2 linked regions of the Drosophila melanogaster genome follow. The protein of the gene in region 2 purifies or fractionates together with the protein of the main gene of each other region. This does not show direct contact. Each region holds a gene or a part of one and is shown on either strand. Other genes may lie near its edges. The genes, in order: mud and Fs(2)Ket.

The links.
Region 1: the proteins of Fs(2)Ket (region 2) and mud purify together in Drosophila melanogaster (affinity purification with western blotting, with the first as the bait; one study listed by BioGRID). This does not show direct contact.

What each region holds. Positions count from the first base shown.
Region 1 is NC_004354.4:14,245,698-14,251,006, forward strand, and holds the start of mud (mushroom body defect), read left to right. Parts: upstream 1-2,034; 5' UTR 2,035-2,422; coding exon 2,423-2,461; exon of another isoform or gene 2,462-2,527; coding exon 2,528-2,702; exon of another isoform or gene 2,703-2,838; coding exon 2,839-3,423; exon of another isoform or gene 3,424-3,493; coding exon 3,494-3,600; exon of another isoform or gene 3,601-3,677; coding exon 3,678-3,785; exon of another isoform or gene 3,786-3,947; coding exon 3,948-5,309. Other genes in the region: CG32599 (uncharacterized protein), read left to right, coding at 1-67, 133-681.
Region 2 is NT_033779.5:20,733,307-20,738,118, reverse strand, and holds the start of Fs(2)Ket (female sterile (2) ketel), read right to left. Parts: upstream 3,209-4,812; 5' UTR 3,029-3,208; exon of another isoform or gene 2,950-3,028; intron 2,867-2,949; 5' UTR 2,747-2,866; coding exon 2,689-2,746; intron 2,017-2,688; coding exon 1,775-2,016; intron 1,702-1,774; coding exon 673-1,701; intron 605-672; coding exon 1-604. Other genes in the region: TM9SF2 (transmembrane 9 superfamily protein member 2), read left to right, coding at 4,056-4,193.

The sequences.
Region 1 (5,309 bases), on a different chromosome or scaffold from region 2:
CATGCTCTCTTACGGCGCCTGGGTGGTCGTCCTGGCCAAGAGGGACAAGCACAGGCGTGCCATGTTTGTAGGACACACCAAATACGAGGAAAGCCAATGAATGATGCTCAGCGATGCTCTTTCATTTTCCAGGAGCGGCACATCGAGGAGGTGACGCTAAAGAACAAAATCGAGCTGGAGGAGAAGCATGCGCGCCACGCGAAGAAGGCGCAATCGCATCATGGTCACTCCGGCACCGATTCCACGGGCAGTGCCTCCAGTTCGCTGCACTACGTCAACGAGCTGCTGCCCAACGGTGGCGGTGAGCACCGCAAGAAGCAGCGACGCCATCGTCACAAGGAGCGCTCCGTGGAGCGAGATGATCATCATCAACGTAGCCATCAGCGCTCGCATACGCCGGACATTGGCGTGCATCGTGGAGCGCCCAAGAGGCCCAGTTTCCGGCAGAAGCTCTTCGGTCAGACCATCGCCCATGTCAAACTGGTGGAGGCGCAGAGCGATAGCACGGATTCAGCTGGCGCATCTGGTCCGGGTACGAGATCAGGTCGCAGTACGGTCGCCAGTCCAGGTGGCCAGGCCAGTGCTGCGGCCAAGCTCAATCCCGGCGAGAAACGACAGCGACTACAGCGCCTGGACACGTTGCCACTGGCGCAGGTGGTGCGTGTCAGCTCGATTCCGTGAGATATAACCATCTGGATGGATGTACATATGCATGTGGAAGTGGAGTAGTTCTTTCTTTTTTTTTTTTTTTTGGGGGGGGGGGGGCGGAGGCCCGACCTCGCCATTGTGTCGACTAAATAAATGTATTATAAAAAATATAAACAGGAAATTCGCCTTTATAAATAGACGGCAATCAAAAGGAAGGAAATGTTCCGATCTTCGTAACGAAATCAATGCTAAATACGTGAGAATTGTATTGTGCACATAGTTCAGCCCATCTGGCTTTTGAATATTTTCAAAATCGTGTGTTTACAACTTGATTTAAGTGAGTTGTAAAACTAATAGTTATGGAATAGTTTAGTTCGAGATTTTTTGGCGAGGTGTTTTCAAGTTGAAATTCAAGTATTGTAATTATTGATTTTCGATCAAGCTGATGGCTTTCTTTTTGTAACGCTTAATTTAGACAATAGTTTTTGAACCGCTTGTCGTTTTCGCACCACCATATTGTTTATTCTGCCTACTTCCTTACGTTAAAATGTTTGGTTTTTTCTCTGATTTTTTTTTTTTGCTTTACATGTACATCAGCGGTGCATTTCCATTGTTTGTCCGAATTAATGGTGGCGTTATTTTTAACGATCAGCACTATAACTAGATTTTCGGCTACCCTGTGCTCGTGTGCGTGCCCAGAAACGAGGATGGGTGGGTGGCAATTCCGGGCACATTGTTTTCGGTCATTGATTATTGTTATTACAATTTAATAGTTTACATGTGGTGGGCCACACTCGGTCGCTATTGGCCATCGGATTTTGGAATTCCCCGCCAAAATAGAAGCCACTTGGTTGCTTGTTTACTTGGCAGGAAATTCGCATTGTAGACCAGTGCCGCCATCTATGTGTGAGATTGGGGTAAACACAAAAGGCGGTTTCAATTATGGAATTTGCTTAGTTTTTCAGCATAGCGGGATTCAACTAGTTTTTCCATACTTGGAAAATTACATTAGATAATATATATTAATTACATATTAATATATTAATTGATAATTTCAATTGAAAATATCACTATATACTTTGGATACTTTGGTATTAAAGCAACAGGTTATTGCAGTTGGAGCCGTTCCACTAAGGCAGGAAAGCAGTTCGTAACAAAGTAGATTGAATTATTTATCAAATTTCATGTGAAACATTTGTTTCTTGAATTATGCAATATGCCATGGTGGAAACACAAGCCACTTCTTTCGCACAGATATCGATAGCAGAAACGCATCTAGTGGACGCGGCCTGGCTTGCAGCTGGAAAGTATCGATCGCCCGATAACAATACCCGAGCGCACCTCGCATGGCGTCGCGCTGCGGCATTTGAATTAAACGACGCGCCGCCGAAACGAGAAGTTGTTGCATTTTTTCGTATCTAGTTACCTATGTTTTCGTTTGTGGAACTGTCAAAATTGTTTGTTGCCCTGCGGACTTCAGTTTAGTCATTAAATTTTCATTGCTCGTTCGGAGCAGTTGTGCTTCTGGTTGGAAAATACAAAAAAAAAAACAAATATTCGGTTTTCGTGAGCATTTGTGCTAAATATATTTTTTGTTTAATTGCGTTTTCGATCGAAACCCGTTTGTTTCGCGTACATTGTTTTGTGTGCTGTGCCGTGTTCTGGAAAACATCCGTTACTGGATGCCAACAATGATAGTGTGATTAGTCTACGCAGACATTGAGCATACATATACGGGCGCACACACACCCATAAAAACGCACAAAAATTCGCAATGGACACGCGCAGCTGGCGCAAGGTCCTACTCCAGTGGGTATGTAAATCTCGCATTGCGCATCACGCACTGGGAATCATTTAGATTAACCCAATTCTGCGGCAGATTGGCGAGTGCCACTTCATCGAATCGAACTACATTACCTTGGAGCAGTCGGATCTGGACTCCTTCTTTTCGGTCTTCATTCAAAAGATCCAGGAGACGGAAAATGTTAAGGGGAAGAATGAGCTGCAGGATCAGCCCACAGAACAAAGCCCCCTTGTGCAGGAATTCCTAGCACGTAAGTTTTTTTTTACCTATTTTCCTAGTTTCTCATAGGGTATAGGGAAACATTAATAAATAGTGAAGCCTTAGTATGAGAATTTAGCGCACTTCCAACTTCATGAACCCACTAACTTGTAAATTTTCCCATGCAGATAACTATCCCGAGTTCATTGCACAACAGGATGACAAGGAAGTCGATCTGCCTTTGGATTGCCTTTACGTTTACACGCTCCTGTTGCATTACTCGTGCGTTAAGAAGCCCAGCTTGTTCTTTCACAACATCTGCAATAAACTGCCGGAGCTGACACAGACATGCATCGCATCCTTCTTTCGAGAGACCGTGGACAGGCTGTTGACGCGCGAATATCTTAGCCAGGCGATCGCCAACGTTGCAGTTGTTTACCGACAAGGGGTTTCGACCTCAGTCAGCCCATGTCTTCCCAGCAGCAGCCTGAGTCCCGATCCGAGGAGCGATGATGCACCATGCCCATCCACGCCCTCATCGTCATCGTCACAGCCGTCGAGCAGCACGCCACAGTTGCGCAATCATCGCGAACAACTTCGCCTGAATGGCTGCGAAATGCCACCTCCTTCGACCCCGAAAACGGAGCTACTGGAGCAACGCACCAAGGAGCTGCGCGGTATTCGTACCCAGCTGGAGGTGGTGCGCTACGAAAAGGCCTTGCTGGAGGAGCAGCAAATGGAGAAGGACGAGCTCATTAAAGTTCTCAACAAAGGTTAGAATGCTTCGAATGCATTACTTTCATAATTTTTTTACAAGTAATTTCATAATCGTTTGCATTTCAGAGAAAATGATGGCCAAGATGGAACTAGAAAAACTAAGAAACGTGAAGCTAACCGAAGAGCACCACGATAACGAGAGCCACCACATTATGCCATATGAGTTTGAGCATGTAGGTAGACTAGCGCAGATGGTCACAGGTAGCGAGCGGGAGCTATAAACTAATAAAACTTTTAATCCTCATTTCAGATGAAGGGATGCCTTTTAAAGGAAATCGGTCTAAAGGAGAGTCTCATCGCTGAGATTACCGATAAGCTGCATGATTTGCGTGTCGAAAATTCCGAGCTGTCCGAGAAGGTAAGCTACCTGTTCAATTTTATAGGGACTATACTATAAAGAAAATTCCACCGGGTCTTGTGCGAATGTTAGCGAAAAACTAGCAACTGTATAGATTATATTCGTTTACATTCAATTCATAATGAAATCTAATATATGTTATATCTTGCATTCATTAAATAGCTGAATCTGGCAGGAAAACGATTGCTGGAGTATACGGACCGCATTCGATTCCTTGAAAGTCGTGTAGACGACTTGACTCGTATCGTATCGTCCAGGGACGTTATGATCTCCTCTCTGGAGTCCGATAAACAGGAATTGGATAAGTGCCTTAAAGAAGCCCGCGACGACTTGCACAACCGAATCGAGGTCTTAAACGCATCCTCGGATTTACTCGACTGTTCGCTGTCGCCGAACACCACGCCCGAGAATTTGGCCAGTTCCGTGATTGACAAACAGTTGCGCGAGAAGGAGCATGAGAATGCCGAGCTAAAGGAGAAGCTGCTGAATCTGAACAATTCCCAGCGGGAGCTATGTCAGGCCCTTTCAAGTTTCCTTCAGAAGCACAATATCGATCACGAGTTTCCGGTAGAATGGACATCGTCGTCCCTGTTGTCCACCATTTCTGCGATCGAAAGTAAATTTGTTAACACGTTGGAGAAGAGTACGCAAATGAAGAAGGAATGCGACGTTCAGTCTGTGTGCGTCGAAAAACTACTGGAGAAATGCAAGCTGTTATCTGTATCGCTGGGATGCCAGCCAAAAGAGCTAGATGGATTCGAGGCCACAATACCGGAGGCAATGGAGTCGGGTTTCGAATCGAGCCGTGAGTGTGAAACCATTTTGAGTTGTTGTCATATGAAGGTAGTCGATATAGCATCGAAAAACAACGACCTGGAGTTAGACAACGAAAGGCTTAATGATAAATGCGCTGAGCTTAAATCAATAATTGATCGCGGGGATCAACATTTGGCCGATATCAATCTGCAGCTAATCGAGAAGGAAAAGCAGATAAAAGATGTGGGCGCTGAAATTCAGGAGCTGCGCAAAAGGAATATAAACCTTGAAAATATGCTCAGCCAAATTGCAGATAAAGAGGCCAGTGCGGCAAGCCATGCACAGCATTTGAAGCAGTGCGGTGAGCTTTTAAGAGCCAAGTATGAAGTGTGTCGAAATGAACTAATTGCTAAGAACGCGGCCCAAGATGAGTTGGTCCGGATGATGATGGTGCCAGATGGGGAGACCTTAAATGGGCGCGTACGCCAACTGATCGATCTGGAGATGATGCATGATGAACATAACAAGATGTATGCACAGATGCTGAAGCAATTAAATGAACTCAGCGCTAAACATGACAACATGACGCATTCCCATCTAGACTTTGTAAAGAGAACGGAGATCGAATTGGAAACGAAGAATGCACAGATCATGGCATTCGATGAGCATAACAATCATTTTGATCGTTTTCTGACCCGCATCTTTACACTCTTAAGAAGTAGAAATTGTCCGAAATCCACGACCATGGGCTCAGCGACCAACTTTCTG
Region 2 (4,812 bases):
AAAGCTCAACCAATGTCGAAACGGCAAGGAAGGCCTCCTCCTGCACTACACCCGACTTTCCAGCACTTGAATTGAACATGGTCAGCAGAGCGGTCATAATGGCATCGGAAATTTGAGGCGCATCCTGCTCGTGGACCTTTCTCAAAACGCTTTGCAGAGTGGCGCACAGAAGCGATTGTAGATCGTTGAACTGATGACGATCGCTGTGATTGTTAATCTGCGTTTCCATCTGCATCACCTGGTTCAAGCGCTCCAAAATCACCAGCGTGGTGCGCTGGACCACCAAGTAGCAATCCAAGGGAGAGTTCTTGATCATATCCATAAGTGCCTGATAAGCAGCACATCGCAAATTGGCTTGAGCTCCGTCCGATCGATCAGTGGTCTCCAGCAACTGGGTAATGATGTACTCAAAGTACGGGGACAGGGCGTACGTCTCCGGAGTCTCTCCGTCGTTGGTGACCGCTGCCTCCCAAGCTGCATCGGAAAGTCCAATGAAGGCCCAACACACGTTGGCTGCTACACGCGGCTCTGACTTTAGGCTCTTCACGAAGCACTCCAAAAGCGTTTGAAGATATGTCTCGTTGATAGCCGCCTCGGGAATTATCTGTCAGGAAAAAGCAGTAGAAGGTTAGTATGACAATATGAATCACCTTAAAAATCACCACTACGCACATCGCAAATACGTCCGAAGGTCCAGGCGATGGTATCGCGCACGATAACGCTGGAGTCGTACATCAGTCGAATGAGCGTGGGCATGGCTTGCTCCACGAGCGGCTTTAAGGTATTGGTCTCCAATCCATTCAGCACGGAGCCGAAAGTCATTACCGCTGCGTCGCGGAATCGCCAATTAGGTGACTCGATGTTCTCCTTGATGAAGGGAAGCACATGTGGCACGATCTCGTCCTCGCAACATGTGGCCAGCACCATGAGGCAAACGGAGGCGGCCTTCGCCGGGCTCCAGGTGTCCTCGTCATCGCACTCGTCCTGCTTGGTTAATTTCTCGACGAGCACAGGCGTCAGGAACTGCAGAGCACCTCGAGCATAGTGCTTGGACACTCTCTGCGGAGCGCGGCCCTGATCAGTGGCCTCCTGGCTTTCGATGGCCAGATCTATCTCCTCATCGCAGACGTTCGACCAGAACTCTATGCCCTGCAGCGCTACAGCATCGTTATCAGACTTCATGGCCGCCAAAGTAATAGGGAAAAGAGCCTGTGCCATGTAGGGCTCCATGTACTGGTAATAAAGGGTCATAATCTTCACCAGGCACTGCAGAGCGGCAACGCAGATTTGCGAGTCCTGGCACTGAGTGGCCTCGCACACCACCTCCATGATGAAGTTGCGCTCCATGTCTTTCTCAAAGTTCGATTTGGTGAACTCCAACGAGTTGTGAAGGGCCGTGGTGGCCGCCAAGCGTACATGATTGCTCGGCTCTACCTTTCTCATGCCGTGAATAATAGCAGTCAGCACATCGTTCGACTGGTTCTCCATGACGCCGAAACGAATGTCCTGGCAAATGTAGCCAATGGCCTCCAGCGCCGACTCGCGATGCATCTCGCTGGATCCTTCGCTGACCACCTTGTTCACCAGTGTCTGGATGAGCATGGGCCAGCGGTTTATCGGCAGCTCAATCACGGCCACATAGGCCACGCACTGGGCGGCGCAGGAGGGTCGGGTGTTCTCGGTACCCAAAGCAGCCAGGATCTGAAAGTAAGTCGCAGTTATTCAGTGCCAATTGTACAAGTCATATGTTTCAACATCAGCGTATGTAACTTACGTTATTCTTGATCAACTCGCGGATCTCGCTGGGAAACTGATGCCAGCGATCCTGGTACTGTTGGCTGACCTTCTCGTCCTTGCTGGTCAGGTGGTTCTTCAGCTGGAGACCGGCTGCCATTCGCGCCACCGCACTGTTGGCCGTGTTCACCAGTATCTCTGACAGCGCCTTGAGAAACTCGGGCAGGTTGCTGGCCGCCGCCTGCTCCAGAAAGTTCTTCGCCGATAGCAGCTCATTTTTGTCTGAAAATGCGTCATTTGGTTGGTTAGACATTTTTAATTTCCAATTATGTCAACGAAAGATTTTATTTGTGGGCCTACACACGCCCACCATTTTGGGTCGGCTTAAAGCTTTGGTATCAGGCCATTGAATTTTACAACAATTGACTTTTGGGAATGTGAAGGCAAGATAGGAACTTTTAGGCAAGGCGTATATAGTGAGAATATTGTTTAATAAGAATACAATAGATGGTGAAAGAAGTGTGTGCATATGAAGAGCTAAGCAGTAAGGTCTAGTAATGAATTGTAGCGGTGGAGCATAAAATCTTCAGGCAAGGGGCAAGTTTGCAGGCATTCCTTATCAGCAACCGGAAGAACTGGCCGCCAAGCATACGGTGGTGACTCCGAAGCGACGCCTCATCGATTCCTAGAGTTAGTGAGGTTATGTCGCAGGCGGTTCGTACATCCTTAATTGTAGGAGCGCAAGCATTGCGAATACATACAGACGCGCCGCCAAGTTTCCCTTGGAGTATGTACGTGGATGCACATGTGTGCGGAGGCCCCTAGCAACCAAACATATGCGAGCGCCTATTGCAACCCTGCGCAACATATAACGCGCGTCCCTCCCGCCAATCGAAGAAAAATCCATATTTTTCGGATCTATACACACACGTTTGTAGCAGTGGGGAAACTCACCTGGCGACACCGTCTTTTCCAAAATGGCAATCAATTGCATGGCGATATCGGAAGTCATGTCTTCGCTCTTTTCCTCTCTATATGATTTCTACTTCACTTTCCGTTTCTTTCTGCAGCTCGTGCGTCTGTGTGGGTGATGGAATTTTTGCGTAATTACTAGACAACACTAGTCTGTCGGCTGCAAATGGTGGAGACAAAAGAGTTAAAGTTATTGGGCTGCTCCGCTGAAGCTGGCGATTTTATTTCGACAGGTTGCAACACCTTGATTGTCAAAAGAATTGATTTTTTCGCACACACGCACACAACAAGCGCGTTCAGTAGAACTCTTCATTCTACTCACATTGTTGTTTGGTTATTTTTCGGGAACGGTAAAAAAGCGCGGGATTCCTAACGGCGATTTTCTTAGTTATTATTATAAGCCTATTTAATGGTGGCAGAACCTTTATCTGCTCTTCGGGAAGTGCAGGCAATATATTTCTTGTGTCTCCGATTTGAAATAGAGCTGAAACGAATGTCGATTTTTATTTGATAGCACTGAGTTTCGATGAAAAAGGCGACACCTATTCGATTGCTTTATTCGAACTATCGATAATTTTTAAATCTAATAACGTATTAATTAAATATTCTTAAATGCGTAGGAAATGTGCAACCATTTGACAAAATATATTATTAGTCAGGAACGATAAGACCAAAATACTTACTACTTGTATTAAAACGCGTTTGCCTCCCCAAAAATCAATCGTTAAATTTGAATGATTGTGCTTATCGAAAATTTTCATATTCAAAGATAAGCACGGAAGCAAAACCTCGAACGAACTAAATAATCGAATACTTTGACTTAAGAGTCGTAGGTAAAAAACTAACAAATGAACAAAATTTGATTACTATATTAAGAAACAGTGGATAAAAATAGTAATATCTTAGAAGTATCACACGTATACGTGTGTATATTGGTTGCATTCGCTTACTGAACAGGGGAATTAATTAATTTAAATATAAAAGTTTATTAAGTCTACCAAATTTCGTTTTGCACGTAATAATAATAAGAGCTAAAGGTTTTCGCGGTAATATTTAGCTTTGCAAATGCTGGTAGTTTTTTTGTCAGCCAGTTGGCAGCCCTCTCAGCTGTACTAGGTGGCAACGCTGCTACAGTGCTGACGTTCGGCAAAAAAGAGGAAACGTAGTAAAAACACTCGAAAAACTCCGTATATTCCGATAAATATCCAGATAGTACGGTTTGTGCGTGGCCCGCCGATCCGGAAAGTGTGGCAGAGAATCGCGGACACGGCCACGTTGTGATTACAACCCGTACAAGTAAAGGAAGAAGGTCTGCTACTCCTGCCGTTCGTTGGTTACCCCAATTCGAGATGATCCTGCTATCCGGACTTCTGCCGCTCCTGGGCGTCGTTCTCTTGCACCTTGCGACCCCGACACAGGCCTTCTATCTGCCCGGACTGGCACCGGTCAATTTCTGCAAGAAAACCGACGTCTCATCCACATGCAAGGTAGGTGTATACGTATGTGCAGAAGTGCAGATGTACATATGTACGTAGATAGTGGGTGTGTTTGCCCCACGCCCGCCACAATTAGCAAAGGCACTGGAACTAGTTATGTACATTGGTTCTATATTCCTCTAATGGTGGTCACAGGCGGAAGCACTGATAAGCGCAGTAACTAGTTATATGTGGGGTCCATATGTGGCCCTCTATCTCAACTTCTGCTGACGTTGCCTACGCCAGCTCTCTTTCCTAGCGACAGCTAGATGGGAGTTCTAATGTTGGTTCAGCTGGCTCGCGAATGCGATTTCGGGGGCTCCCGACCTTAAGAATCTTAACATAGTGGCGGCTAACCAATAATTGAACCAGGGAACGCGGTTAGCTTGTCATGCTTCCTTGCATTATGTTTGGGTTATTTTCTTTTTAGTAATAATAGTATAACACAATAACAATATAAATTCAGGACAAAGTATAATTTTTAGTTTGATATCCCAAATAGATGGGGTTAGCCCTTTTAAAAGATGACCTAACTATTGGATGATAAAGCGTGAGCTATTGGTTTTGTTTGCTTCATCTTATCTTTAAACAAATCTAAACAACTTTTTAATATACCCGTAGGTCAAGAAAT